Elephas maximus indicus: one gene and its partners. The main gene of each other region encodes a partner of the protein of the gene in region 3 in a complex. Links are inferred from orthologs where the notes say so. Each region holds a gene or a part of one and is shown on either strand. Other genes may lie near its edges.

The links.
Region 1: the proteins of TLE6 (region 3) and YWHAG are in contact, whole or in part, in a cryo-EM structure (PDB 8XI3), measured with the Mus musculus proteins. The link is inferred for Elephas maximus indicus from reciprocal best matches to the Homo sapiens genes TLE6 and YWHAG. Residues at the interface, in NP_444484.1 of Mus musculus: Phe137, Leu138, Ser139, Glu140, Ser141, Asp142, Leu144, Gln145, Leu295, Arg347, Asn430, Leu447, Gln470, Met472, Asn489, Asp510, Asn511, Thr512, Met530, Pro553, Arg555; in NP_061359.2 of Mus musculus: Lys50, Arg57, Arg61, Lys125, Asp129, Arg132, Tyr133, Gly174, Leu177, Asn178, Val181, Glu185, Phe201, Asp202, Ile205, Ala206, Leu208, Asp209, Glu213, Tyr216, Lys217, Thr220, Leu221, Ile222, Met223, Gln224, Leu225, Arg227, Asp228, Asn229.
Region 2: the proteins of TLE6 (region 3) and OOEP are in contact, whole or in part, in a cryo-EM structure (PDB 8H94), measured with the Mus musculus proteins. The link is inferred for Elephas maximus indicus from reciprocal best matches to the Homo sapiens genes TLE6 and OOEP. Residues at the interface, in NP_444484.1 of Mus musculus: Trp256, Ser258, Phe304, Thr305, Arg306, His307, Val318, Asn320, Val322, Asn323, Glu332, Ser333, Asn354, Ser355, Arg356, Leu373, Ala374, Ala375, Pro376, Ser377, Leu378; in NP_080756.1 of Mus musculus: Arg32, Pro33, Trp34, Trp35, Pro37, Gln39, Glu40, Glu67, Trp70, Met71, Gln73, Gln94, Pro95.
Region 4: TLE6 (region 3) and KH domain-containing protein 3-like share a complex: the UniProt entries of both Homo sapiens proteins name them as parts of the subcortical maternal complex. The link is inferred for Elephas maximus indicus from reciprocal best matches to the Homo sapiens genes TLE6 and KHDC3L.

Annotation. Positions count from the first base shown.
Region 1 is NC_064830.1:94,203,147-94,210,783, forward strand, and holds the start of YWHAG (14-3-3 protein gamma), read left to right. Parts: upstream 1-4,507; 5' UTR 4,508-4,715; coding exon 4,716-4,802; intron 4,803-7,637. UniProt on the Homo sapiens protein: Adapter protein implicated in the regulation of a large spectrum of both general and specialized signaling pathways. Binds to a large number of partners, usually by recognition of a phosphoserine or phosphothreonine motif.
Region 2 is NC_064819.1:136,634,273-136,640,586, reverse strand, and holds OOEP (oocyte-expressed protein homolog), read left to right. Parts: upstream 1-4,193; 5' UTR 4,194-4,307; coding exon 4,308-4,473; intron 4,474-4,691; coding exon 4,692-4,871; intron 4,872-5,409; coding exon 5,410-5,489; 3' UTR 5,490-5,703; downstream 5,704-6,314. UniProt on the Homo sapiens protein: Component of the subcortical maternal complex (SCMC), a multiprotein complex that plays a key role in early embryonic development.
Region 3 is NC_064821.1:6,075,245-6,083,470, forward strand, and holds the start of TLE6 (transducin-like enhancer protein 6), read left to right. Parts: upstream 1-4,905; 5' UTR 4,906-4,987; intron 4,988-5,615; 5' UTR 5,616-5,655; coding exon 5,656-5,706; intron 5,707-7,304; coding exon 7,305-7,384; intron 7,385-7,793; coding exon 7,794-7,839; intron 7,840-8,226. UniProt on the Homo sapiens protein: Component of the subcortical maternal complex (SCMC), a multiprotein complex that plays a key role in early embryonic development.
Region 4 is NC_064819.1:136,624,797-136,631,315, reverse strand, and holds KH domain-containing protein 3-like, read right to left. Parts: upstream 1,968-6,519; coding exon 1,802-1,967; intron 1,626-1,801; coding exon 1,446-1,625; intron 1,151-1,445; coding exon 675-1,150; downstream 1-674. UniProt on the Homo sapiens protein: Component of the subcortical maternal complex (SCMC), a multiprotein complex that plays a key role in early embryonic development.

The DNA of each region.
Region 1 (7,637 bases), on a different chromosome or scaffold from region 3:
TCACATTTAGTTTAATTTCAGTAGGGAAATTAAGACCCTCAGAGGGGACAAGCCTTGCCCACAGAGCTGGGAGCAGGCAGAAGCCAGATGCTAGTTCTCCACCTCACTTCTCTAGATTTCTTTTAGCAGAACTAGGCAGTAGAGGAGGAAACCAGGATGTTAAGCCATTTGCTCTGTGTAATGTTGCCATGCCTCTGAGGCAGCCCTCTAAACAGCCAGGGGCTGCTGGGCAGCTGTAGCTTTAAGTCTAGAGTCTTAAAAAATTAAAAAGGAAAGGAGGGCAGGGCCAGCTTTCTCCTGCACAATTAGAGGGAAGCCTCGATATGGAGACTGTAGATGTCATTCCTATTTGGCTTTGCAGCATCATTTTCTTTGCATCTGTTTTATTTTTTCCCAAGTAGGTTTGGCCTGGGTTGTTTTTTAAGTGCGTTGGACTGGTTGGGAAAGGAACTAGGTGGAAGAAGTCAGAGATGTAGCCCAAAATGTGCCACGGAGTTCTGAGATTTAGCATCTAGAGCCAAGATCAGTGACATGTTTAATTCACAAACTGACAACCAGGATTGGATATAAGGGTTCACTCCCACTGGCCTCGGATGCCCACGGCAGAGTGGTTCATGCCTGGCCTGCAGGGAGGAAGAGAAAGGAAGAGGAATAACTTGGTGAACAGTCATGCAAGAGCAGAAGGAAGTAGGAGGGTTTATTCACCAGCAGGATTGCAGTTTGCTGGGTGGTGTGGTAAGAGAAGTGGGGCCAGGCTAGATCCAACGTTGGAAGATGGGGAGAAGAGAGCTATTTCTAGGCTCTCTCCCCACTCAGTCCATCTCCTACACTTCTGCTAGCACAGTCTCCCCAGAGTGCATTCATTCATTCATTTCACATGTTCTATGTACTTACTCTGTGCCAGGAACTGTGTTAAGTACCAAGGATTCAATGGTGCTGAAGAAGACAAAAATGCAAATCTGATCATCGTTTGCACTTGTTAAACTCACTCATCGGCTTCCTATTTACTTTGGAATAAAGACTTAACTTCTTAGCCTGGCATTCAGGGCTTCTCGTGTTCGTGATTACCATCCCAGCCCCATTACCTATCACCTGAGGGTACCAGACACATCAGATTCTTTGCCTACCAATAAATATGCCAGGGAGGAACCTGAGAACCTGCCTCTAAGCCTTGCTATTTGTGCCCTCTGCCTGCTCTTTCTTGTCTAATCCTACATATCCATTAAGGATCAGTGGGAAATGTCACCTCCTCCCTGGAGAACCTTTTTAGAATCTTTTCCTGCCTAGCCTGAAAGAATTAAAAAAAAAAAAATTATAGAACTTAACACATTCTAAATCCCTTAAGTGATACCATGGTGTGGCAATGGCGTAGTGGGGGTGTCATCCAACCGCTTCATCTAACTTCACAAGAGGAGAGGAGAATCAGTATCAGCACCAACAGCCAAGGCTGATTGCTATGAGGTGGAGGTCAGACATATCTCCTTGTCCAATCTTTTTACCAATTCTGACACCAGCCGTCCCTCCCATGGCACTCTCTACCTCTCCGTTGGGTTCAATGATTCGTTGCAACGGCCACACAGAACTCACAGATCGTACACACAGTTATGGAGTTTATTAGGAAAGTTTTGTTGTTGCTGGGTGCCGTCCAGTCAGTTCTGACTCACAGCAACCCTATGTACAACAGAACAAAATACTGCACAGTATTGCCATCCTCACAATTGTTGCTATATTTGAGCTCATTGTTGCAGCCACTGTGTCAATCCATCTCTTTGAGGGTCTTCCTCTTTTTCAATTTTCAAGTATGATGCCCTTCTCCAGGGATTGGTCCCTACGTAAGACGAAGTCTTGCCATTTTTGCTTCTAAGGAACTTTCTGGCTGTACCACTTCCAAGACACATTTGTTCATTCTTTTGGCAGTCCCTGATTTATTCAATATTCTTCGCCAACACCATAATTCAAAGGAATCAATTCTTCTTCGGTTTTCCTTATTTTTTGTCCAGCTTTCGAATGCATATGGGTCAGGCGCACCTTACTCCTCAAAGGGACATCTTTACTTTTGAACAGTTCAAAGAGGTCTTTTGCAGCAGATTTGCTCAATGCAACATGTCATTTGATTTCTTGACCGCTGCTTCATGGGCACTGATTGTGGATCCAAGTAAAACGAAACCCTTGACAACTTCAATCTTTTCTCTGTTTATCACGATGTTACTTATCGGTCCAGTCGTGAGGATTTTTGTTTCTTTATATGGAGGTGTGCTCTATACTGAAGGCTGTAGTCTCTGATTTTCATCAGTAAGTGCTTCAAGTCCTCTTTGTTTTCAGCAAGCAAGGCTGTATCGTCTGGATGTCAAAAGTTTGGTAGTCTTCCTCCAAACCTGATGCTGCATTCTTCTTCATATAGACCAGCTTCTCAGGTTATTTGCTCAGCAAATAATTTAATAAGTATGGTGAAAGGCTACAATCCTGAGGCACACTTTTCCTGATTTTAAACCACACAGTGTCCCCTTGTTCTGTTCAAATCACTGCATCTTGGTATAGTGAAGCAACAGGTTACAATTCAGGATCAAGAACAACTCGGGATACAGTTCTTTGGTCAGGACGGTCTCTTCTCAGATCAGAACAGTCCCTTGGCCCCTCAGTCTGGCCTTTGTCCTGCTCGGGCAAGTGTTACAAAGCTGTTTTGCTCTGCCAATAAATGCCCAGGGCCACCCTACTCTTCAGGGAAGCCTCTGGCCAGAAGTCACTCAGCACACCCACTGTAACAGCCTTACTCCATGGGCCAGGAAGCCCACTGCGTCATCTGATCACCTGGTTCCTGCTGTCTTGTGCCGCTACCACTCTCGCTGCTGCTGTGCTGCTGTATTTCACTGTCTTCCATGTTAGAGCTCCTCCCTATCTCTCTCCATGTCTCCCTTTAAGCTTAGCAGAATGGCAAAATTGACCAATCCCCTCATTAGGGCTCCATACACCTTATTTGCATGGTCCCACTTCTGCAAGGGTTCCATGCACCTTACTTGCATTGGCAGCAAGCCGTCCAATCCTTTTAGTGGTCTACAAGCACTTTATTTGCATAGTTCCACCCAATCATTGTGTGGGAGTCACAAAGACTATGGCTAAAAAAAAACCCAGTGCCATGGAGTCATTCCGACTCATAGCGACCCTGTAGACTATGGCTAGAAGGGCCACATTAAGTAATTCATTGCACGAACGTGCCCTCTTCCTCCAGCATCCTAGGGCCTGGAATATTCCCTCACACAAACTCTTTCATTCTAGGTTCTCATAACACAACATTTCACATCATCTATTAATCATTTTCTAACATACTTTACGTATTTATTATTTATCTTGTCTTTTCTGTTTCTATGTCTAGAATGTTAGGTTACACATGGGCAGAGATTTTTGTCTGTTTTGTTCACTGTTGAAGACCATTGTTTAGAATAGTGGTTGACACATAGTAGGTGCTGAATAGGTATTTGTTGAATAAATTAGGTAAGTAAAATGTGCAGTCAAAACTATGGGTGTCTGTGAGACCTATATGGAATCTCACTGAAGAGAACCATATGGGAAAGAATCTGTCAGCCTAATCTCGGTGTGTATGTCCCAGGAAGGGAGAAGGACTGGGCAAACTCAGATCATAGCCCAGGGTTAGGCACAGCATAACTGTGAATTGAATCTTGAGTACTGGGCCCTGGAGAGGAAGAAGGAGCTTTCCAAGGGTCAGCCTCCACACAGTTGCATCTTTTCTTAAATTAACCAGTATGCTGGGCTGATATTTGTCCTTCCTTATTTTCACCTAGTCGTAACCAAGAACTTCAAGGTGGGCATAGGGAGCTGGAACCTTGGCGGGGTGGCTGATAGTCCAGGGTTTGGCCCCTTAACTCAACCATCCTGCGGGCTGGCACCACCCCGACAGTATGGATCTACAGCGGATGCGCCCTATCCCTTTCTCCACTCCCCTCTCTTTTCCCCCCCAAAGGCCTGTTGCTTTATTTCGGAAACAGAGACCCTTGACCCCTCCCCTCATAATTTCCCGAAGAATACCCGTCGGGCCATGAATCAGCACTCCCTAGGATTGATGCAGTCCTCATCCCCGCCAGGGGTCCCCAGTGACTGGCAGATTAGAAACCTCCCCAATCCTCTACCGCCCGCGCGCTACGTCCTCTGGGAGATGTAGTCTTGACCGCCCCTTTGTCCTTGGTCTGCCCAGTGGTTCGCCCCCGCAGGAGCACGAACTACAACTCCCAGGGGCCGTTGCGCCGCGGGCCCGGCGGGGCGAGGGTCTGAAGGGGGAGGGGGGAGTCTGGAGGTGCTGGGGCGAAGGAACAGGCGTGGGGAGGAGAAAGGGGAGCGTTGCGGAGCAACGGGGAACGGGCGGACGGTCGGAAGACCGTGGCTAGTAGAGCCGCGGAGCTGAAGCAGGAGAAGCTGACGGCGCCAGGGAGGGGCCTGGGCGGGGTGCGCGCGGCGGGCGGGACCCGGCGCGTCACGCGGCGTGGGCGGGGCCGCTGGGGGTTGTCCTCTCGCCGCACGCACAGCAGCCGCAGCCGCCTCGCGCCGGTCCCGCGGTCGCAGCTCGAGCCGCAGCCTCTGCCGCCTCAGCTGCTCTTTTCGTGGGTCGGTCCCTCCGGCACACGGGCTCCCGCCGCGCCGCAGCCGCCCTCCAAGCCTTTCAGGCCGCCCCGGTCTCCTCATCCGGCCCGACCCAGCCCGCGAAGATGGTGGACCGCGAGCAACTGGTGCAGAAAGCCCGGCTGGCCGAGCAGGCGGAGCGCTACGACGACATGGCCGCGGCCATGAAGAACGTGAGTTTCCCCTCCCCTCGCCCCGCCACTCCCTGCCCTTTCTGAGACGCCTTCATTCGCCTTAGAGGCCCAGGGACTAGTCGCCTGTCGCGACTGCAAGGTGGGTCGCCCCTCCTCGCTTAGGGGGCCGTGGAGGGTCCTGATCGTGAAAAGCACCCGGGTTGTGACGCTGTCTCTCATCCCCGTCCCTGGGAGCTGGCGGCGCTGCCTCCTCGGACTTCGGGGCTCAGACCGGACCGGGGCGGGGTCTTCCGGGACCGTTCGCGGGCGCGGGGTCTCTGGCCCCCGCGTGCTCCGGGTCTGCTGGGGACCCGAGCGGGGCCGTGCGCATCCTTTGTGCCCCACTTCCCCTCCTCCCAGCCTGGGGCGTGGGGGCGGGGGACCGCATGGATGCGGTTCCTCTTTCTCTCCCTGGTGTTTGGGCGGCGCCTTTCCCATTCACTCAGCAGGTTTACTCTTTTTAGACCCCCCCCGCCCCCCATCTCCTTCCCCTCTGCCCCTCCTGACAGATCCTTTACAATCTCCCCCAGGAAAAATTTTAGGCTCTCCTGAAAACCTGGGGTCAATGGTGCAAAATCGAAACCTTCTTGATCACGTTTTTCTTAACAAAAGGCTCCTGTTTGTTCATTCCTCAAAGCAAGTCCTCCCTTTGGGGGGGGGGACATTTGTCTCACTAGCTTCTTCATTAATTGTTCTCAGCATGTCATCTGCATTTCCCCTAATGTTTTGTAATGAAAAGGGTAGGTATTGTTTTTAAAATAAAAGTGGTGGATGTAGCAGCCTGGTTAATTTGTGACATATGCTTTTTTTTTTTTTTTTTTTTAAATTATAGGCACGCGTATTGAAATTCCTGTAAGTTGGAAAAAAAAAATTCTGATCTGATATTGCAAACAAAGCGGTGGTGGGAGGCAGTATCAAGTCATTCCAGAAGATTCTGCGTTTGTCATATTGCAGAGAGCCTAGACTGGGTGGAGGCTGGGAGGGGTTGTTTAAAGGGGGAAAAAGTGTTTTTTTAAAAAAAAATTTTTTTTAGCTATATCTGAGGCTTTTTTTTTTTTTTTTAAGCTAGTGCACCCTCACGCTGATGAAAAGAGAATAGTGATCTCCAGTTGTCGCGTTTTGTTTGAGATGCAGATTTCTGCCTGTATTGCACCATTTTGTCAGTAACACCACATTTATCTAACGGGCTGTCAACCCGCTTGAGATGAGAGGAGGGGGGAAAGCATTGAACATTATTCAATATGGAAAAAATGATCTAATCATTTAGGTCTTACACTATCTTAATATTTAACTTTCTACATTATGTAACAAAGATAATTAAAATGCATCTCCAGTTTGAAATGGATGCACCTTGCATGTTAAATCTTTTTAATGAAGCAGTGTAAGTATAGTAGATTAATTCTCGAGTAGCTAAACTAGTTCACAAAAGATGACAATTGGTGATGCCTTTATATTTAAACCAGTTACATTAACAAAAAATGTTATCATTAAGGAAGGGATTTGATTCTGGGAATTGGGAGTATCCTGTTGCTTAATGTATTGCCACAGTTATTATTTTACAACATTTTAAAGATCAGATGATATAGGTTGCATTTTTAATGGATGCCAATGTTGAAAATATCTTTGGTTCATGTTATTTAGGCTCTTTTAATTTTTCCATATTTCTAGTTTCACAGGAAAGCGAGTGACCTCGCACCTATATCCATAGCAACCCAGTGATGTCACACACAATGACACAGAGGCTGCAATGCACCTAAGGGCTGGTAGGGAGTATGCAAATGGCATTTGTCCAAGGTAATGCAGACGTTAGTTGATAAACCTGGTGGGATTGAGCACTTCACCTTCCACTAAATAAAAATTGATTTGCAACGGAATGGTCCTATTGGTCCAAAAAATAAGTATTTCATTTACCCTTAGACATGCAAATCAGTGACCTCTAGATATGCTTTGTTCACTTTATTTCTCTCTCTTTTTTTTTTCAGACGAGTTTATCACATCCATCCTATTTTAAACACTCATCTCACTTAATTAAAAAAAATTGGGCAACGATGGAATAAAAGTATGAATTTAACAAAGGAATATGTTTTATGATCGTAGTGTGGGGGAGGAGCTTTGTACTGGGGTTTTATTGAAAATTAATAGCTTGGCAGATTTTGATGAAAAACCTAAAAAAAAAAAAAAAAGACTTCCTACTGGGTCATTTTTAGTAGCTCTTAGAGGATAAGAACCCATTACAAACCAGTTATTAAATTCATTTGAGGTTGGGCTTTGGGAAAATTGTCTTGTTGTATTTGTGCTTCTGCTACTTGACAATATGGAGGAAAGACAGTTTGTAAAATAAAACAGACCTATTTTCAAACCTGTTTACTGTGACTTTGAGGAAGTAGGCTGACCTCTGGCCCTCATTTTCCTCATCTGTAAAGTGGGGCAATACCTACTTGAAAAAGTTGTGGTTAAATAAGAAAATGTAGGTGCTCAAAAGCGGTAACTATTTATGAAACTTTGTTTCTTGTTTATAAAAATGATTTCATTATGGAGAATTTAGATAATCCAGGAAGGTATGAGGAAAATACTCAGTGCTGTCACTCAAGTGAGCTCTCTTTGAAGGTGGAAATTTTCCTGACGCTAGAGGGATTCAAATTTATTTGTCTTTATGAAATTATCCCAGTAATAACAGTGTTGGGATCTTTGTAGAGTGTGATAATTGTATGTGGGTGACCAGAATAGGTGTAATGAGCAGTACTTTGAAAAGGAGGAAAGAGGGAAGTTAGTTTTTAAGATAGATGTATAGTCTCTTATATTTAAGGGGAGTGAACACCTGGAGATTCTCTACGT
Region 2 (6,314 bases), on a different chromosome or scaffold from region 3:
GAGATAATTTCTAAGATTGTCCTATCTATTTTTTTTTTTTTATTGTCTTTATATCAGAGCCCAGCTGATATGTCCTTGTGAGTCCTTGTGGGCCCAGCTTCAGATGGGTCACATTCTGTATGCTCAAGGACAGGGAATAATAATTCCAATATTATTTTCTAAATCAGTTATAACAATGTATTGTTGGATTTGTAACATGAACAGATATAATATGTACAATAATAATACCTCAAAAGGATGAAAAGAGAATAGAGCTATACAAAAATAACATTTTTATATTTCACTGGAATTAAGCTTTTATAAATCTGAAGCTTATTCTTATAAGCTAAGATGTATATAGTAAACCTTAGGGCAACCACTAAAAAAAATTTTTAAAAACTCAAAAATAAGTGAAAAATCATTATACAAATTAAAATGATACATTAGAAAATATTCACTTAATGCAAAAGAAAGCAGTAAAGGAGAACTGGAGGAATAAAAAGGCATGAAATGAATCCTAAACATCAGAGGCATGCTTCCTGAACATTAGAAGAATGTCCTCTATACTTCAGAACGGTTAGGCCTTTATTATATTCCTTTTTTGCAATGATAGCTCCTGGCTTGACACTGATTGGTTAAATATCTTCTTACTACTGTAGAATATTTTCCTCATTTAACCATCTAAAAAAATAATCTATGATTTATGCATTTTGATGTTATTTGGTACAAAAAGATTAATGTCTTTATTATGCTTTGTACCATTTTTCACTGTCTAGAGGATTCCACGTTAGAGCTGAAGATTAGACCAAGAATGGAAGTACTGGAAGACAAAGATTCTCAATGAGAAATTAAAGAGCAATTCACTCACAAACTCTATTGCCTGAGTCCAAAGCCTCTTCAGACTGGTTCCTCCAGTGCTCAGCAGAGAAAATGGAAGCATATGATACCTGGGAGGTCTTCTTGGTACTATATCCTTACCATGGGGTACAAAGAGTTTTGTTCTTTTTACTGTGGTAAAATATATATAACAGAAAACACACCTTTTTAACCATTTTTAAGTTAACAATTCAGTGGCATTAATGACATTCACAGCGTTGTGCAACCATCACCACTATTTAGAGTACAGAGAGTTTAAGTACATTCAGTCACAGACCTAGCAATGTTGGAGCCTGTATTCAACTCACGGCCCCTCCAATCCAAAGTAAAACCAGGAAGCCTGGGAGATAACTGAGTGTCAAAACGGACTCATCTTGGCAGATTCTACTAAGCCTTAAAACTTTGTGATTCTGTTCTGAAGTTGGCATGGGGGGCAGCAAATACAACTCAAGATCTGCCAAATGTAGGAAACTTAATAGGAGAGCCCTGCACAAAGCTGGGACACCAAGTGACCATACCTCCAACATAAAACTAAATCAGAAATAAACTTTGTCATCCAGATGGAAACATCAAAGGAACTTGTTTTGTGGTTGCCTTTCTCAGGTATGTTTTGACCTGATAATTAATTACCACAAGCCAGACTTTATGCAAGGTTTTGGCTAACTCATGCTACATGTGTAAGTCTGAAATTTTTCAGAAATTTAATTTGAAGTGGCCTCAGGTTGGGCACATCCTCAAGAGAATGGCTCAGAGCAAAAAAGCTATCAATTTATAGTGATTTAGGAAATAATACTGGAGTCATCATTCCCTGTCCTTGAGTATAGAGAATGTGACCCAGCTGGAGCTGGGCTCACAAGGACAGATCAACTGGGGCCTGAGATAAAGACAATAGAATAATCTTAGAAAATATCTTTTAGGAAACCTTTCAGAACACAAAAGACTTTCCACTCTTACCTTTTTCTATTAACATTTAGTGAATAGAAATTTCTTGGACCAATGAAGACCCTCCTGACTGTTGTAACTGAAACCTGTACCAGTGATCATTAAGAAAGGTGATTCGAAATGTAGGATCACAGTTTCTAGCAGATCTGTGAAAAGATAAAGCTTCCAATTGTTTTGCCCATTTTGTAATGTTAATATATACTGATGACTCTGTAACCTTCTCTGGACCTGGACAGACACGGGGGTGGCAGCATGCTTGTTCGTTTTCCCATTCTTGTCTATTCTGTAATACTCTCTGGACTCCTTAGCTCTGGCATCACGCTTCTCCGCTTCCCGCTTTTGTCTTTTTGAATATATGCCGGATAAAACTTTGTTTTTGCTTTACTAAACTTTGCGATTTTTTTCCCCTACAATAGAAAGATGAAATTATAGTACTACCTCATGCCCAACTGAAGAAAATTAACCCCAGGTAGATTAAGCACTTAAATGAAAGATCAAAACTTCAGCATTCTTAGTAGAAAGTATAGTGAATATCTTTAAACCTCAGGCTAGGAAAGGCTTTCTTAAGCAAGACAAAGAAAGCATTTACTATAAAGGCTAATAAATCTGACTATGTTCAAATTAAGAATTTTGTTCATCAAGATACCGTAAAGAAAGGACATTATCGATTGGAAGAAGAGATTCACGATACACACACCTGACAAAGGATTAGTAAAAGGATGATGGAGAACAGGTGATTTAGGAGATAATATTGGAGCCATTATTTCTTATCTTAGTATGTGACCCAGCTGGAGCCGGACTCACAAGGACACATCATCAGCTGGGCCCCCGAGGTATAAAGATAACAGCTAGGACAATCTTGGAAAACATCTTTTAGGGAAACTTTCACATGAACAAAACAGCACAAAAGACCTTTCAACTCTTATCTTTCTCTATTAGCATTTAGTGAATAGTAAGATCTGTTGGACCAGTGAAGACCCTCCAGACTGAAACGTTGTTGTACCAGTGATTATTAAGAAAGAGGATCCACAGTGTGGAGTCCCGTTGATCTAGCAGTTTTTAGGCAATCCATGAAAAGGTGAAGCTTTCACCGATCTTACCCATTGGTGATGTTTACACTGGTGATTGTGTAATGTTCTCAGATTCCGGCAGACATCAGCTCTGGCAGCATACTTGTCAGCTTCCCGCTTTTGCCCTTTTGAATACATGCCAAATAAAACTTTCTTTTTGCTTTACTAAACTTTGAGATTTTTTACCCTACTGCACATGGGAAGGGAGATTTTCACAAATTATATTCTCAAGATGTTTTCACAATGTGCATCTATTACTGTGTAGATTTAGAAAATTACAGTGAACAAATAAAAATATCCACTAAAGTTAGGTGCAGTACTTCCTCTCATTTCCTCTTATAGATACTGTCTATTGTTGAAGCCTAAATTATGTGGATGAGGGAATTTAATATAGTAATACTATCCTCCCTTATGTAAATTACTGAAAATTTCCATTAAAAAGATTTTGAAAACAAATTATACCTAATTTTAAGGAAAAAAAATTTGTACAGCAGATGCTATCTATTCTACAACAATTAACCAAGCAATATTTATAACCAAGCAATATTTATAGAACTACCCTAGCAAAAGTGCAAGAACATGTGTGGGTATGATACACACCAGCTTCATGATGATAATTTCCTCTGGGGAAGGAAAGGGAAGATTCTTTAGTGATATACATTTTAAAGATCAGAGAAGTGAGGCAAATGTAGGAAAATGTTAATATCTGTTAACTGCGGGTAAGGGGAGAGGTACATGGGTGTTACATTACTTTTGGATATGTGAAATCTGCCATAATTTAAAGTTATAGTTAAAATTAAGAACACAGGGAAGAAATAGGTATCAACAGCAGTTGTGTCTTAGGATGATGGAAGTAAACAGGATATGCCCGTAACAGCCACGTTTCCTCTAAGGATCAGGTCGGACATTTTACTTATAAAACACGACACATTTAGTTTTGTTAGAATGATTTCGAGATGGCAACCTAACCGGAAAGAGTCAGAAGATAACAGGGAGAAAATACATTATACAGATTCGAGGAGCCTGCCCTATGCCTGACCTACCCACCTACGTCTGCAGGGTAATGTGAAAACTTTTAACCCAGGCACTGAAGGGGATTCCCGATCAACAAAGTCACCAATTCCAATTCACACTATTTATCAGCTACGTGACAAAGCAGCGGCCTTTGAGGCTAAGTGATACTGTACAAGGCAGAGATGACCGAGGGCGACGCCAGGCAGGCTCAAAAAATTACTCCTTCCAGGTAGAAGAGGGGCCCCAGCGACTGGCTCAGCAGGAAGCGTCCCGGGGCCCTGCAGAGCCGCAGCTCCAGGAGGCGATTGAGCCTCCTCACCGCCAGGGGGGGCGCGAGGAGCGCCGGAGGGGCGGGGCTGGTGGGAAACCGTAAAGGCGGTGAGCTTCGCGCGTCTGCCTAGCATCCCGCCAAGAGCTGCCTCCAGCATGGTGGATAACGCTGGTGGCGCTGAGGCCCAGGTGGAGCCAGACTCCCTCGTGTTACCACATCAAGGACCAACGCTTCGCTTGCGGCCATGGTGGTTTCCGGTGGAGGAACTAAAGGAACCGCTGGTGTTTTACCTGGACGCATGGCTGGTGGACCTGATCTTTGGTAAGTGATCCCGCATGTGCTTGCAGGCCAGTCATTTCCAGTGGGAGAAGGGCAGCCCAACTACTCTCTGTTGCCTCTTTCCTAGATTCAGAGGCCAATTTGGCGCCATGACGCCCAACTTCCAGCTGTTCCCTTTCTCTGGCCAACATTCCCTTCAAACCTAGCTCCTAAGCTGCAACCACTTCGACCTTCATAGCCTCTCCTTCTTGCCTGTTTAGGCCCAGACAGAGCCATAATTCCAAAAATTGAGTGGATGAGCCAGATTCTGCTGACTGTGGATGTGGTGGACTCCAGTGACCTAGCCAAAATCACCATCTTCGGACGGCCCAGGGTACAGAATCGGGTGAAGAAGGTGCTCCTGGCCGTGGCATCGTGGCACCGGAAACGTCGTCACCGAAGTGAGAGTCTTAGAGAATCTGCATGTAGGGGGAGCCACGGAGGACCCATCTGGCCTTGCTCAACCCCTTTCCAACCACCCTTCCCTCTCAAAACAACTTTTTTGCTGTTCTCAATCCCAAGAAGCTAAACCCTACCCCTAGGGATCCCTTTGGGAGGGAGAGAGCCCAGGTTACAAAAAAAAAAAAAAAAAAAACCCACTGCTGTTGAGTCTTTCTAACTCATAGCAACCCTATTGGACAGAGTAGACCTGCCCCATAGAGTTTCCAGGGAGCACCTGGCAGATTCGAACTGCCGACCTTTGGTTAGCAGCTGTAGCACTTAACCACTACACCCTTGGAAAAGTAAGTTGAGATCTGATTCATTAAGGCCATCATTGCCCAAGCCAGCCTCAGCTGGCCTATTCCTAGATGCCAGTTTTCGAGCCTCCATCCTGAGAAAGGATGTTGCCAGCATCTCCTTCCCTCGTTTATCAGTGCTTAGGCTAAAACAGCAAGCGTTTCCCTTACTAATGGTTGGTATCAATTGCTTTTCCTCCAGGTGAGAAGATGGAACAGCTTGAGGAGTTCTTGAAGGCAGGTGCATCCAGTCCCCAGGCCCCCCAGCATCCTATTGCTTAAGGGAGTATCCTCAGGAGTATGATGAGCACAGTTCTGTTTCTGCTACCAAAGTTGGAGGGAAACAATTATCTAATATCTGCATTCCATTCTTCTGTGTCTGGATGAATATGCTTTGATTATTTTGGTGCAAACATGAGTTTGTAGAGCTCTTGTAATCAAGAAATGGATTTCCTTGCTTTTTGGGTCCAATGGCAATAAAATGTGTTAATTTAGTTAGGCAGATTTATAAAAGGTTGACTGTTCATTCATTCTTGGCGGGGGTAGAAGGCTGATACTCTTTTTGTTCTTGTTTGTTTTTAGTTTTACCATTTGGAAACTGCTAACTCTTTTATGGTTAGCCTCAGGCCCTCAAATGCAGGCAGGGGACAGAAGTATAAGGGCGGATGACCTTCAAGTGTCTGATCTGTTTTGGTTTCAGTGGTTAGTAAGATTTAAAGTATATCAAGAGTCACCTTGATAGCTCGTTAAAACACAATTCCCTAGACCCCTTCTCCAGAGATTCTGATTCAGTACTGGGTGAGGGCCCATGACTTTGCATTTCCAACAAGTTCACAGGTGATGCCAGTGCTGCTGAGACTCTCACCTTGAGAACCACGGCTTTACATCTCCTTACTCTAGTTGTGAGAACGCATATTAAGTCAATGTATTGAAGAATCATCAGAAATTTGGAAGTCTTACGGAGGAACTAAAGGGACTTAATAACATTTAAGGAGGGAACCAGAAGACTTTCTAAGGGCAGTTCCTACCTAGAATGGGTCTTCTATTGGAAACAAGTTATTTTATAAATGCTGATGAAGCTGGAATTAGACTGGAGACCCCAGCACA
Region 3 (8,226 bases):
AGACTGCCAGCGGCTCCGTGGGAGAAAAGACCTGGTGTTCTGCTCCCATAAAGATTTCCATTGCCTTCGAGTGGAGTCTGACTGTAGGGACCCTATAGGACAGAGCAGAGCTGCCTCATAGAGTTAGCAGCCAAGAGCTTAACCACCATGCCACCGTGGCTCCTTCCCCATAAAGATGACAGCCTAGAAAACCCTATTGGACAGCTCGGCTCTGTCACATGGGGTTCCCATGAGTCAGAATCAACTCCATGGCACCCAACAACCTTATGATGTAAGGGTTATGAGAGTACATTTTGCAGCAAGATAGCTCAGCTCCTAGCTGGTTGTTAGGTGCCATCGAGTCGATTCTGACTCACAGCAACCCTATAGGACAGAGTAGAACTGCCCCATAGGGTTTCCGAGTCTGTAATCTTTATGGGAGCAGATTGTCAGGTCTTTTCTCCCGCAGTGCAGCTGGTGGTTTTGAACTGCCGACCTTTCAGTTAGCAGCTGAGAGTTTTAACCATTGTGCCACCAGGGCTTCTTGCTCCAAGCTTAGCCATTTAGTAATGGCCTGACCTTGGGTATTCATTTAACCTGTCTGTGCCTCAGCTGGAAACCCTGGTGGAGTAGTGGTTAAGCGCTACAGCTGCTAGCCAAGAGGTCGGCAGTTCAAATCCATCAGGTGCTCCTTGGAAACTCTGTGGGGCAGTTCTACTCTGTCCTATAGGGTTGCTATGAGTCGGAATCAACTCCACAGCAGTGGGTTTTGGTTTGGGGTGCCTCAGTTTCCTCCTCTGTAAAATGGAGATGTTGGGGTTGACATTTGAAGAAGTGAGTTGTTACATGGTAAGCAAACTCCCTGGTGCAAATGGCTTTTTCATTCCAAAGGCTGTGGGATTTTTGCTTTAAAAAAGGCCAGAAGCAGGTAGATCAGGCTCTGAGCCTGGAAAGGGTTACCCAAGCTAGAGGCAGAGGGGAAAAGAGGAGCACACAGCTGCTCACTGAAAGGTCCGAGAGTCGAGCCCACCCAGAGGTGCCTCGGAAGAAAGGCCTGGCAATCTACTGCCGAAAACTCAGCCATTGAAAACCGTATGGAAACTTAGGGGGCCATGAGCTTATGTTAATGGGTGAGGAATAATTTGAAAAAGGAGGGTGAGAATGGCTGCATAAAGCGAAGAATGTCATTAATGTCACTGAATTGTACATGGAGATATTTTCGAACTGGTGTAGGTTCTGCTGTGTATATTCCCAACAACAGCAAAATAAATTATAAAAAGAAAATCCTGTGGAGCACAGTTCTACTCTGATACACATGGGGTCACCCTGGGTCAGAATCGGCTCCACGGCAACTGATTTATGTCAAGGACTTCCTTGTGCCCAGAACCACCACAAAGGGACCAAGTCACATGTGCCCAAAACGTGACTGCCTTTGATTTTCCCGAACTGAACGTAATTTCTCTTTTGAGCCTCTTTCCACCAGGTGGCAGAAGGCAAACCTCAGTTGATTCCAGATAATCTGTGGCCAAGTCTAAATTCAAGGGGAGATTATATGGATCTCGGGGGGGGGCACCCAGGCCTTCAATATCCTGTCTGCCCTCTCTTGACGTGGCCAACATTTGGCTACTGTCTCTCGTCTACATGGGCCCCTGGGAAGTTCTGGGGAGGGGACAGGATGCGGGGAAGAAATCTTAGAACATTTTACAGTTGTTAGTTTCCATCGCGTCCATTCCGGCTCGTGGCAACCCCAAGTGTACAGAGTAGAACTGTGCTCCATAGGATTTTTTTGGCTATACTCTTTAAGAAGGCAGATTGCCAGGGCTTTCTTCTGCAGCACCTTTATGGAAGCAGCTCACCAGGCCTGACTTCCAAGGCGCCTCTGGGTGGGTTTGAACTGCCAATTTTTTCGGCTAGTGGTTGAGCACTTAATGTTTGTGCCACCCAGGGAGTCCTGAGGCCCTTCACTGCTTCCCTGCTATTCCAAGAACAGAAATTACTCCATGGCCTTCTCTCTACCTGGGCTCTCTCTGGACCCACCTGGCCCACACTGAGCACAGGTAACTCTGGAGCCTGGGGATAAAAAAAAAAAAAAGAAATTCTGAAGTCTCTGGGACAGGCCCAGGGTCCCTTCTCAGAAACACAGACCACCTACTGTCTGTTTCCCTTCCTCCCCTCCGGAGTCTGATCTGCCTGCTTCTGACCTTGAGTTTCTTTTTAAAGCAAAAATCCCCAAAGCCTTTGGAACGCAAATGCCTTTGCTCTCCAACCTTCATCCAGGCCTGGAGTTTCCAAGTAAACCTTAAAAATTCAAACGCTGAGAAGGAAATCTTGGCTTCCTCCCTTCCTGTCTGCTGTGTCATCCCTTCCCTGTGAGCTCAGGGGAGGTTTCCTCCCAGCTGCCCAAGCTGGGACAAAGCCAGGGAAAGAGTAATGGGAAGAACCAGGCGTGAAAACCCACTGCTTAAGGTACCAAAAACCAAACCAGTCGCCATCGAATTGATTCCGACTCATAGTGCAAATGGTAATTGCACTCGCTCGGCTGCTAACGGAAAAGCTGGAGGTTCGAGTCCACCCAGAGGTAAAGAAAGGCCTGGAAATCTGCTTCTGAAAAACCTGCCATTAAACACTCTAACAACAACAACAACAAAAAAAAAACCCATTGCCATTGAGTCAATTCTGACTCATAGTGACCCTATAGGACAGAGTAGAGCTGCCCTATAGCGTTTCCAAGGAGCGCCTGGTGGATTCGAACTGCCAACCCTTTGGTTAGCAGCCGTAGCTCTTAGCCACTAGGCCACCAGGGTTTCCATTAAACACTCTATGAGGCACATGTCTGCCCTGACACACGTGGCGTTACCATGAGTCGGAATCGACTTAACGGCAATTAACAATATTCCATGGATAAATTTTATTTCATTTTTACTAATTTTGATTTAAATAGACACACGTATCTAGTGGCTGCCCTAGGAGATAGCACAGCCTTGGATAAATTGACATGCCCAGCTTCAGTTGTACAACCAGGGAAGAGAAGGGAAGCTAATGGGGGAAATTGGCAGGCTCGTCCATAAATAAAATTGACTTCAATTAAGGGCAAGCTGAGGGATCGCAGGTGAAAACCTCTTTGTGTCTCTGACGGGGAAGCCCCCCCTCCTCTGTAGGCAAGCCACAAAACCCAAGTTATCACCTGTTTACATCAGAACCTCCGGGGCTACGTGTTCTAAATCTGAATCCTCAGTTTCCCCCGAGTGACAAAGCACAGAACAGTCGGTTCTCTGGCCTCTTTGTATCTCAGGCCAGTGCACCTATCCAAGTGTCTCTGGGCAGGTGTGAGAAGGTCATGGCGAAGTCATGGACGGGGAAGAGACTAGGGGTGGGGATGCCTCCCTATGAGACTTGAGATCAGTATGTGGGTTCAGAACACAGCAGAGCTCAGAGCCACCGCTAGAGGCTCCTGTCACAGAAACCACTGAGATGGACCACAAGATTAGGAGCAATTTAAACCACAGTTGAAGAAAACAAAGCAAGGGAGACTTCCTTCTCAAGGGGTGGCTGTTGTTGTGTTCCCTCAAGCTGATTCCAACTCGTAGCGACCCTACAGGTCAAAGTAGAACTGCTCCATAAGGTTTTTTAGGCCGTTATCTCTATGGGAGAAGATTGCCAGGTCTTTCTTCCGCAGTGCTACTGGGTGGGTTCCAACCACCAACCGACCTTTCCGTTAACAGCAGAGCACTTGACCACTGTGCCACCAGGGCCCCTTCAAGGAGTTAACCAAAATCCAAACCAATCTCACTGCCATCGAGTAGATTCCGACTCAAGGAGTTAGGGGGTGTACTTTTCAAAGGAAAGGTTAGAGGAGGCCTCTCTCAAAAGGTGACCTCTGAGGAGAGAGCTGAAGGAGGTGAGGGAGCCAGCCAGTGTCTGTCTGGGGCACACTGTTCCAGGCAGGCGGAAGAGCCGGTGCAAAGGCTCTGGGGCAGGAACGAACTTGGCCTCTCACTGCAGAACTCAGGATTACCACTTAATATCTGAAATAGGTTAATAACAGAACTCTTCAACACCACGACGTCCATCCTACCCAACCCCCCAAACGCATGCGCAATTGGATTCTCTGGCTCAGTAACAACGCAAACCCCTTAAGTCTCAGACATCATCTGCCCTGCGGGGTCTCTCTTAACACTCTTTCCTACCCTGACCTTGAACCTGGCAAAACTGTACCAGCCTCCAGGCATTTGCTGTTCCAGCTTTCATTGCCACTGGGACAGGAGGGCGGAAGGAAGAATTCACTAATAAAATGCCTTACCCAGCCCCGGGCTTGGCTCAATGGAAGCCCTGGATAAACCGGAGCTGTTAAATTCTCCCCCGAAAGGGGGATTGCACGCTGGCATTGCGCGTTATTTAATATTGCAGAAATCATCATTAGTCCACATCTAAGTATTGGGGTGGGGATGCTAAAGGGTCCCCCCATAAGCCACCCTTGGCATGGCCAACAATGATCAGACTTCTCACCAAACAATGCAACCACAAGCCACTCAGCCCCTCCTCCAGTTCCACCCTTTGACCCTCAAGCCGTAAGTCCCCCCTCCCTTGTCTGGACCCCAGACTGCGGCTCTGCGCGACCTCTGTACCCGGCCGCGGGGCCGCAAGGGTTAAGCGGCGGCCGAGCGCGCTGAGTGACAGTCCGGCCGGCGGCTGGAGCGAGCAGACCAATCGGCGGCGGCGGCCGCTGCCCACGTGGGCGTAAGGCCTAGCGATTGGTCAACGCCGCCCGTCCACCGCCCGCGAGTCCCGAGCCCACGTGCAGCTGCTGCTCATTCATTGCTCGACTTCGCGTTCCAGGTGGCGGCGGGGAGGGGGCCGGGGCGGGGCCGGGGCGGGGCCGGGGCGGGGCAGGCGGGGCCTAGAGGGGTCAAGCAGCCCCTTGGGGGAGGTGCTTCCCCTTGGTTTAAACTTGGCCGGCCCCTCCAAGTTCCACCTTCTTCACTGGCCCTGGGTCTCCACTTTCAGACAGGTGAGTTTCCAGGCGGCTTTCCTGGCGGACTCCAAGCTCCCTGGCTGGGGACTATGCTGGAGGGAAGTCGAGGGGGCAGAACTGAAGGAAGGGGCCAGGAACCTGTAGGAGAGGTTGGGGTGGTGAGAGAGGTCTCTTTCTTCCTGTCTGATAAATTCCTTCTAATTCACCTGAAGAACTCTTATTCATCCTTCAAAACCCATTTCCATTGATCTCTTTCTCTGCTTTAGGAAATTAAATCAAAACCAAGTTTGAGCTTTGGCTTCCTTCTCTGGCGTCCCCCAAGCCCTGATTGCTCTGGGCGGGGTGGTGGGGAGCGGTGTATGTGTCTGGTACTGTCTCCCCCACCCCCTCATAGGGTGGAGCCAGGGGCTCCGGCCTTTCTGGGTCCCCACCATTAGTCTAGGCAGTAAGAGACATCAGAGAGCATCTAATGAATGAACGTGAGACCTAGGGAGTAACAGTGGGATGATACGGTGGAGGGCAAAGAGGGGCTGAGGACCCAGGTCCCCGAGGGTGCCAGCGGTGGGTGGTGCAGGAGACCCCAGGGTGGGGGGCGGGATGGTTCTACCCGTGGCACTGCCCAGCGTTCCGTCCTCAGGACCTCCCATCTCCTTATGAATTTCAGAGTCTCTGGCTAAAGCCCTGCTGACTTTTCCTTGAAAACGATGTCTAGGAGCCTACTCACCTCCCAGAGGGACACTCACAGGATGGTAAAGGTGACCTTGAAGCTCCTGGGAACCTCAGTGGCATCAGCCAGGCAGAGAGCCCAGACCTGGGTTCAAATGCAGATGGCCTTCACTTAGTTCTCCCAGCCCTTTCTGATCGGGGTGGTAATAACCCATCACCTGCTTCCCAGCTGACAGAAGCCAGCACTTCCTTTTAAATTAAATTTCCTTCTAATAAGACCCATGCATACATCATCGATTTGGTTAATATTTTACACTCAAAAGCCATCTCCTCACCTCCACCCCTTACTTCCCAGGGGTGACTATTTCTAACAGGGCAGGGTTTGGCCAACTTTTTCTGTCAAAGGCCAGGTAGTAAAATTGTAGACTTTGCTGGCCAACAGGCCAAATCAAAGCTATTCTGTTGGTACTTGAATTAGGAGAGAAAACGGGAATGCCCTTCTGGTTTTACGTGTTTCCTCCCTAGCCCCTGACTGGCCCTTTGAGCCCACTCAGTGGCTTGGTGGAAGAAAGGCCTGGCAATCTGCTTCTGAAAGATCACAGCCATGAAAACCTTATTAGAGCCCAGTTCTGCTCTGCACACATGGGGTCACTGTGAACTGGAATTGGCAGCAACTGGAAATGTTGATTTCTGTGTCCGTCTCCTCATCTTGGAGCCCTGGTGGCTCAACAGTTAAAACACGCTGAAAGGTCAGCTGTTGGAGCCCACACAGCAGCTCTGTAGGAGAAAGACCTGGTGATTTGCTCCCGTAAAGATTAAAAACCCTGTTGCCTTTGAGTCTACTTCGACTCTTAGGAACTCTATAGGACAGAGTAGAGCTGCCCTGTAGGGTTTTCAAGGTTGTATCTATGGAAGCAGACTGCCACATCTTTCTTCCGCCGGGCAGCTAGTGGGTTTGAACCTCTGACCTTTTGGTTAGCAGCTGAGCGCTAAGCCACTGCGCCACCAGAGCTCCTTTGGGCCACCACCACCACCCTCCATTTCCAAGCAGAAACTCCCCTCAGGTGATAACTTCTCATCTCCCCCCTCTCTCCTCTGAACCCTCTTAACCTGGCCTTGGAGTCTAACAAAGGAGCCCTAGTGGCGCAGCAGTTAAGCACTCAGCTGCTAACCAGAAGGTCTGTGGTTCAAACCCACCAGCTGCTTAGTGGGAGAAAAATGTGGCAGTTGACTAGTATAAATAAACCCCGCGGGGCAGTTGTACTCTGTCACATGGGGTCGCTGTGAGTGGGGAATCAACTCAAGTGGTACCTAACAACCCTAGCCCCTACAGGGGAGAAAAAAAAATTTCTTGTCAAGTCAGCTTTGATTCACGGCGACCCCATGTGTGTCAGAGTGGAACTGTGCTCCACAGGGCTTTCGATGGCTAATTTTTCCGAAGGAGATCACCAGCCCTTTTGTCTGAGGTGCCTCTGGGTAGCTTTGAACCGCCCACGTTATGGTTAGCAGCTGAGTGTGTTAAGTATTTGTACCATCCAGGGACTCCCTGTTCTCCTACGGGGCTGGCCCAATTCCTGGGGGCTACAGGTGGTACCTGGGTACTAGATGAGATGGAGCCTTACCTGGTAGCATGGGTGTCTGAGGAGCTGGGGTCTTCAACCCTCCCTTCCCGCTTTGACCCTTCCAGACTCAGACTTCCACCTCCAAGGGCCTGCAGCAGCTGAGCGAGCAGAATACCCTGGATCAGCTGAAGAAGCAGTCCCTCAGGTGAGGACAATTCCATGTGGCCACATGGACTGAAGCCAAAGACCCCACCCAGGGAAGGACTCCCACTTGGGCCCTCTGCTTGGGGATGATCCAGAGGCCCCTGGGTCAAAAGCCAGGATCAGTAAGGGGACTATCGGGGAGCCTGAAGCAAAAGGAAAACAGTAATTCTGACCCTGGTTTTTATTGGGAACACCTTGATATTTCCTGGGGCTTGAATTTTGACTTTTGAAAACATGGTCTTAAAATTGTATTTGTCTTGATCACCAAGCTTTCTGGCACCACCTTCAGTCCGGCTTCTAGCTGATGCCTCACTTCCCTCACCCTCATCCCGGTGTTGCCTGGGGCCTCACCCTGGGGGTGGCGGGGGTCCTCAGGCTACTTCTTCCAACCAGTCTTTTTTTACCCTCAGGGCCCTCCTTCAGTTGAGTACACAGCTGGAAAACATTTGCCACTCGGTGAGTGGACTGGGGCAGCCCCGCCCCGGGGCAGAGGATGCCAAGGAGGGAGGCTGAGGTTGGGGGTGGGCAGTGGTGGTGCTGACCACTGGTAACCTTCCTGAGGGGCTCAGGCTGCAGCTCCTCGACCCTCCTAAGCATCCCAGGGAGGCTGTCCTTGTCAGCTTCTGGAGCCCTGATGGGCCACCCCCCCACGGCCCCCCCCCACGTATTACACTTAGCTGTGAGCAGGTGAGTTAACCCTTTGAGCCCCAGCTTCCTCAAATGAGTCTTATAAACCAGCCTTGCTGTGAGAACGGGAAATCCTCTAATGAAAGCAGGTGTTCACTTGAAGGCCTGGCCTCTGCTTCCGAGAGGTCACGGCCTGGAAAACCCTGCAGAGCAGCG
Region 4 (6,519 bases), on a different chromosome or scaffold from region 3:
TTGAACTTCGCGCTCATGTCAAGCCTCACAGAAGGGCGGGGGACTGATCTGAGGACATTAGCAGTATAGCCAGCCTTTCTCCCATAGTTCTTCCCCACTGTCAGTTGCCCTTATCTGTGGCACCGTGGGACATCCCTGCGGGCCCTCCAAGTTTAGGTGGGCCGCAACCAGATTTGGGCCATCCTAAAGCACCTTGATTGCAACACCAGGGGGCTAGGTGGATTTCCCAGTGAGGGCCGATTCTGTGGGCACTAGCCTTCCCTCTGCAAAGGCAGCGGCGCAAGATTAAGAAGCACCATAAGGGCAAGCACGTGGCCGCGGGAGGGGTTTGGGGAAAGGGCGAGGGGAAGAGACTGCAGCTTCGGCCGCTAGAAACCCAAGAGGTCCCACTAGTCTCTAGGTAGAGAGCAGTGTGGGCAGAACTCGGCTGTCGGAGGAACCTGCCGCCTCTCCCTTCCCTCCTATCTTCCGATTAACAAACACTAGAGAAATTTGACTCTTTATTAGGACTCTTTAAATTCGTGTTTACGAACATTTAACACAGGAAAAGAGAAAAAAATCCACCCCATCATTTTTATTCTGGGGGAGAGGGGTAGCAGGACCTAGAACAAGGGTCCAGACAAAGCTTCCGCTTTAAACTCTGCATGGCCCTAGCCTCGGGGCACTAACTACCTTCAAAGCTTGGTAACCCAGAGCTGGGCAGCGTCCGCAGCCCCCGGGGTGCCGGCCTCGGCCTCGGGGGCAGCGTCCGCAGCCCCCGGGGTGCCGGCCTCCGGATCGGCGTCCGCAGCCCCCTGGGTGCCGGCCTCCGGATCGGCGTCCGCAGCCCCCTGGGTGCCGGCCTCCGGATCGGCGTCCGCAGCCTCCTGGGTGCCGGCCTCCGGATCGGCGTCCGCAGCCTCCTGGGTGCCGGCCTCCGGATCGGCGTCCGCAGCCTCCTGGGTGCCGGCCTCCGGATCGGCGTCCGCAGCCTCCTGGGTGCCGGCCTCCGGATCGGCGTCCGCAGCCTCCTGGGTGCCGGCCTCCGGATCGGCGTCCGCAGCCTCCTGGGTGCCGGCCTCCGGATCGGCGTCCGCAGCCTCCTGGGTGCCGGCCTCCGGATCGGCGTCGGCAGCCCCCTGGGTGCCGGCCTCCGGGGCAAGGCTCTTCTCTGAACGTAGAGAGCAGTATGAGAACACCGCAAGTACGTCCCCAGCCTCCCCTTCTCAAAGGGACAGTTATCAATACGGCCTGCGCGGGTGGTGGCAGAAAGCTATTTCGATTCTGGAGTCTACCACGGAATTCCAGAAGACTGGGCTAATTTGTCTTTCCAGATCCCTTGCAAAGAGGAAACCCTCTCCCAGGCCAAGTAGGAGGGGGAGACTGCTGCCGGGATCGTCAGGACCCCTCCCAAAGAGCCCAAAGCCTACCCGGGAGATTCCTCCCTGCACCACTCGGTCCCTTACTTTGCTCCCGGCGTTGTCGGTGATAGTCGGCCAAGTTCGTGATTATCTTGGCTATGTCTTTCTGGTAATAAGGCCGCCCAAATATCAAGATCTCCGCCTTGCCTTCGGGGTCCACCCGACGCACGCGGAGAATGGTCTGTGACACACACTCGACGTGCGGGATGTGCTCTCCGCCCGGTCCTGCGTGGGAGCGAGGAGGCCGTGAGGGGCGGGGACTTGCGAGGGGAAGGGGCTAGGGAAGAAGCTTCCGGGAACCGGCTTGGGGCCAGGGCCGGTGGAGAGGGTTCCCCTGGGTCATGGTCGGAATGGGAAGGTGGGGCAGGAGCCCTCTCGGCCGCCCTCGCTGTACCACTCACCGAAGATCGCTTCCACTAGCCAAGCCTCGAGGTATACTCTATACGGATTCATCAGGTGCTCGGCGTTGAACCAGAAGGGCCGTTTGTCGAGATAACTGAGCTCCTCAAATTGCTGATCCTGCTGCCCCAGCTGCACGAGCGTCGGAAACTGCTTGGAAGTGGCCATGCTTCCACAAGCGTGGCGGGGAAAGGCGCACGACGCAAACCCTCAGTCCGCGCTCCTGACCCACGGTAGAAGATAACCTGGCACCAGGCCCTTATTTCAAGAGCTTTTGGCAAGCCCCTCCCCACCTCGCCCTTGTCATTGGATACCAGGCCTCGCCTCCCAATCCGGGCCCCAGGGCTTCTTCTCCAAACCGCGCAAGTGCGCTGAATGAATCTTGGTGCGTTTCTCGAGAGGCTGTACTAGGCTGGGATCTTCCCGGCGCCGCCCCTCGCCTCTTCGGAGACCCAGGTGCTTCTCAGGCAAGTTCTAAAGGGATCCATTTAGCATTCCTAGGAGGCAGGAATAACTTTGTAGTGGATAAACCTAATTCAAGGAATCCGAAAAAAGTGTTAAAAGGTTAATCTCCTTCTCTGTCCCTTGAGCCCTGGCCATCGAGTTGCCTCGGCAGAGGCCACCACCTTTCCAGCTTCGATAAATAGCTTAGAGAACCTAAATGTTTGACTGTTAGGAGACGTGGTGAGCAAGTATTATTTAAAGTTATATTTACGGACATGGAGAAATGTATGTTCATTATCTCTTAAGTGAAAATAAGGTTGCGAAATAGTGTGTATACTATTATTGTTGAAGCCCTGCTGGCGCAGTCGTTAAGAGCTCGGGTGCTAACCAAAAGGTTGGCAGTTCGAATCCACCAGCCGCTCGTTGGAAACCATATGCGTTACGAAAGAGTATGTATATTATTGTTAGGTACTGCCAAGTTGATTTCGACTCACAGCGACCCTGTGTACAACAGAATGAAACACTGCCCAGTCCTGTACCATCCTCAGAATTGTTGCCATGCAAAAAAAAAATTTTTTTTTGAGCCTATTGTTGCAGCCACTGTGTCAATCCATCTCGGTGAGTATCTTCATTTTCCCGGGCACTCTACCAAGCATGATGCACTTCTGCAGGGACTGGTCCTTCCTGACAACATGTTCAAAGTAAGAGGAAGTCTTACCATCCTCACTTGTAATTGCCCAATCAGTTTGCCTTTCTTCTGTAGGAAAAGGTTTATGGCTTTCTGAGTTGGGTGTATTTCTAATAAGCAGTGAATGATTGGGCATTTTAATCTACTCATGTTTCATTTTAACTGAAAACTTTAAAACTGTCTATGTATGTTATTAGTTTAGACTTTCCATCATCTAAGTGGGCCCAATTCCATGCTACCTGTCACTCCCTACAAAAGTAAATAATTGACTAAAGAAAGTAGGATGGCAATGGGGCTGAGAGTGGGGCTGTGACAGATGTTCTCCAAAAGCTGAGGCCTTCTTGCCAGGAACATCCCAAAACTGGTGTTTCCTTTTACATTTAAAATAACTGATCTGTTACTGTTGAGGTCTTTAATATAGTGTATAAACTCTGGATTGAGATGTCCCTGTTCAAAGGTCAACTTTTGACACTTGGCAGCTGTTGATTTTAGTTAAATTATTTAACTTCATTGTGTCTGAGTGTCTTTATTTACAAAGTGGAGGTAATAACATTACCTACCTCATAGTGTTATTGTAAAGATAAAATGAGTTAATATATGGAGCAAGTTTACAACACGGTTTGGTACACAGGAAGTACTCAATAAATATTAGCATTTATCACCACCATCCATGCTCGTTTTGGGTTTGTTTGATTTTTATATCTACTTTCACTGTGCCTGTAGTTGTAGAAACTACTTAGTTTTTATCTTATAGGGAGATTCCTGCATTTTCTTTTAAACTGGTCATGAGGCCACAAAAACAGGGAAATACATGATGCTATCAACATCAAAATTTATCAACATCAAAATACACATTTAGGTAGCCAGGCCTGTTCAGGCTCTGTCCCTTTTGTGTCCCACTTTGTCCCTCAACCACCCGATGGGAAGAATGTGAGGAAAGGGCATCTGAAGCCAGCACCTCATCCGATTGACCATCCTTCCCTGTTTGCCAGGGATAGCCCAGGTTGTCACCTGTTTTCCCAGTGTAACCATTTATATTCTTCCTCCCCTTCACCCTCAAAAGTGTCCCTGTCTACAGATCTAACTAATTTACAAGCAATAGAAAGAACAGAGGAAAATGTTAAACTACTCCATGGAGATACAATTTGCAAAATCCAGACAGAGGGAAACTATAGAACACACACTTCAGCTTCTTCAACCAATAATTTACAAGGTAAAAGAGGGTATGGAGAAGGAATCTACAGGTTAAAAGAGAAAAGACCTGCCAATCACAAAGTGGAAATCTTATTTTAAACCTAATCAAATAAAACAAAAACATAAAATTCTAAAACTTATGACTTGATGGCAATGGGTTTTATGAGACATTTGGAAATTTAAATACTGATGATTATTTGTTGACATCAAGGATATTTTTAGTTTGATAATGACTTCATTTTTTTTTAAAGGTCTTTTAGAGATACAGTTTGGGTGGGGGAGGGGAAGGGACAGCTGCAACCCTGAAGACAGCAAGTCCCCTTGGCAGAGACCTGGCAGGAGATGGTATGGTGGGCTTCCCAACCCATGGAGAGAAAAAGCTGAGTGCCTTTGGGCACAGGCGTAGGGCTAGGGAGAGGCATGCCTGGGAACACTGCTGGGAAGAGGTTGTCCTCATGGAAGAAATGTATCCTTGAGTGTTCCCGAGCCTGAATTGTAACCTGTTACTTCCCTAATAAATCACATAATTGTGAGTATGGTCTGTGAGTTCTGTGTGGCCATTGCAATGAATTGTCGAACCCAGCAGAGAAGTAGAGAGTGCTGTGGAGGGCCGGTTGGTGTCAGAATCGGTAAAGATGGCAGAGGAGGCATGTCTGACACAGGCCTCATAGGAATCAGCCTTAGGCTGATTGATAGTGTATCTCAGATGGAGTAAGTACTGATATGGAACAATCTCCAAAATACATTTAAGTGAAGTTAGAGGAGGTCAGACACTGCCCCCGTGCCATTTTTATAATGCCTTAACATTAATAAATGTATTCAATCAAATTTTCATGGACTTTTAATTAAAATAACAAACGTCTTGTCACCACTATACTTAAATGTGTTATAAAAACTCATGTTACTATGAATTTAAATTTCTTATTTATCTATATTTTAATTCATTTATTATTATTATACAGTCTTGGAGCATGTAACTCTTTGAGACATTTATCTTCCTAGAGTTATGATAATCTCATTAGACCTAAAAAAAAAAAAAAGCCTTCATTTTAGACTAGTCAGGTTGTGAATATCTAACATACACCTTTAAAATTTTTTTTTGAATGGTAATATACCTGGTACAAAAGACTGTACAGTGAGGTCTCTCTCATCCTTTTAGTTAACCACAGTATCTTTTCAATATATTCTATGAAAATACAATATATATATTTATATACAATTATATATACACATACATATGTATTTGTAACACGAATAATAGCATATAGTACACACTGCTTGTACCCTTTTTTCCTCACTTAATGTATTTTGGAGATTGTTCCATATCACTACTTACTCCATCTGAAATACTATAAATTAATTATCTTTCTCCCACTAAAATATAAATCTCATGAAGATTTTTGTTTTTTCATATTTTTTTGACTTCATACATTGTATATATACATACGTATATGTCCTATGGTTCATGAATATTTATCTTGTATTCAATTTTTTGCTTTTACCAGTAATGCTACTGCAATAAATATTCTTGTTTATGTCATTTCTTACGTGTGGGAATATATGTGTAGGATAAAATTCAGATGTATAATTACTGGGTCAAAGGGTTTTTGTACATTTTCAATTGATAAGATATAGCCAAATGGGGTCCCACTGAGTTTAAACCATTTTATGCACCTACCAGTATTTTTGCGGACCTTACGCCATGAAAAAAAAAAACTGAAGTTTATCTTTTGACAAAACCAATACATATACTTTAGATGCTCCTTCATTAAAAACCAAACAAACAAAAAAAAATTTATCCTTAACGGAAAATGCAGGCAGGAGGGAAAGAAAGCAGAGCATGTGAAATGGTGAAGCTTTCTAGACTATCATCTAGACCTACAGTAGAAATTTAACATTGATTATATTTTCTCTAAATGATTTGTTGAAATAACTCGAGTCTTTCAAGTTTTAACCTTCCAAATGTTGACTCAAACCAACACCGAAATTCTGCCCTTCTTTATCGTAACAAAAATCCTCTTTTGCAAGAGGATATTGGGGTATGTTGGAGAAGTGGCTGTTTTAATAAACAGGACCAGCGCAACGAAAGTAGACAGCGGGCCGCCCACCGCACCGAGAAGGATCAGCGCAGGGAGGGCTCAGGCGGCGTTTGCAGACCCTCCCTGGGACTGCTCTCAGGGCACCCGAATTCGCCCTACTACCGCGGGGCGTTTTTAGGAATAACTAGGGCTCACTTTCCTTCTAGGAGGGAAATCGCCCGCAAACACGCCGAGACCCACGGTCCTTCCCCGGAGCAGCCGGAGTGGTGGGTACGGAAGTCTCGCGTTCTTCAAGAGATCATGGCGCTTGTCCACCATCATCGACTGAAAATTCGGTTTCGTGAGCAGCTCTGTA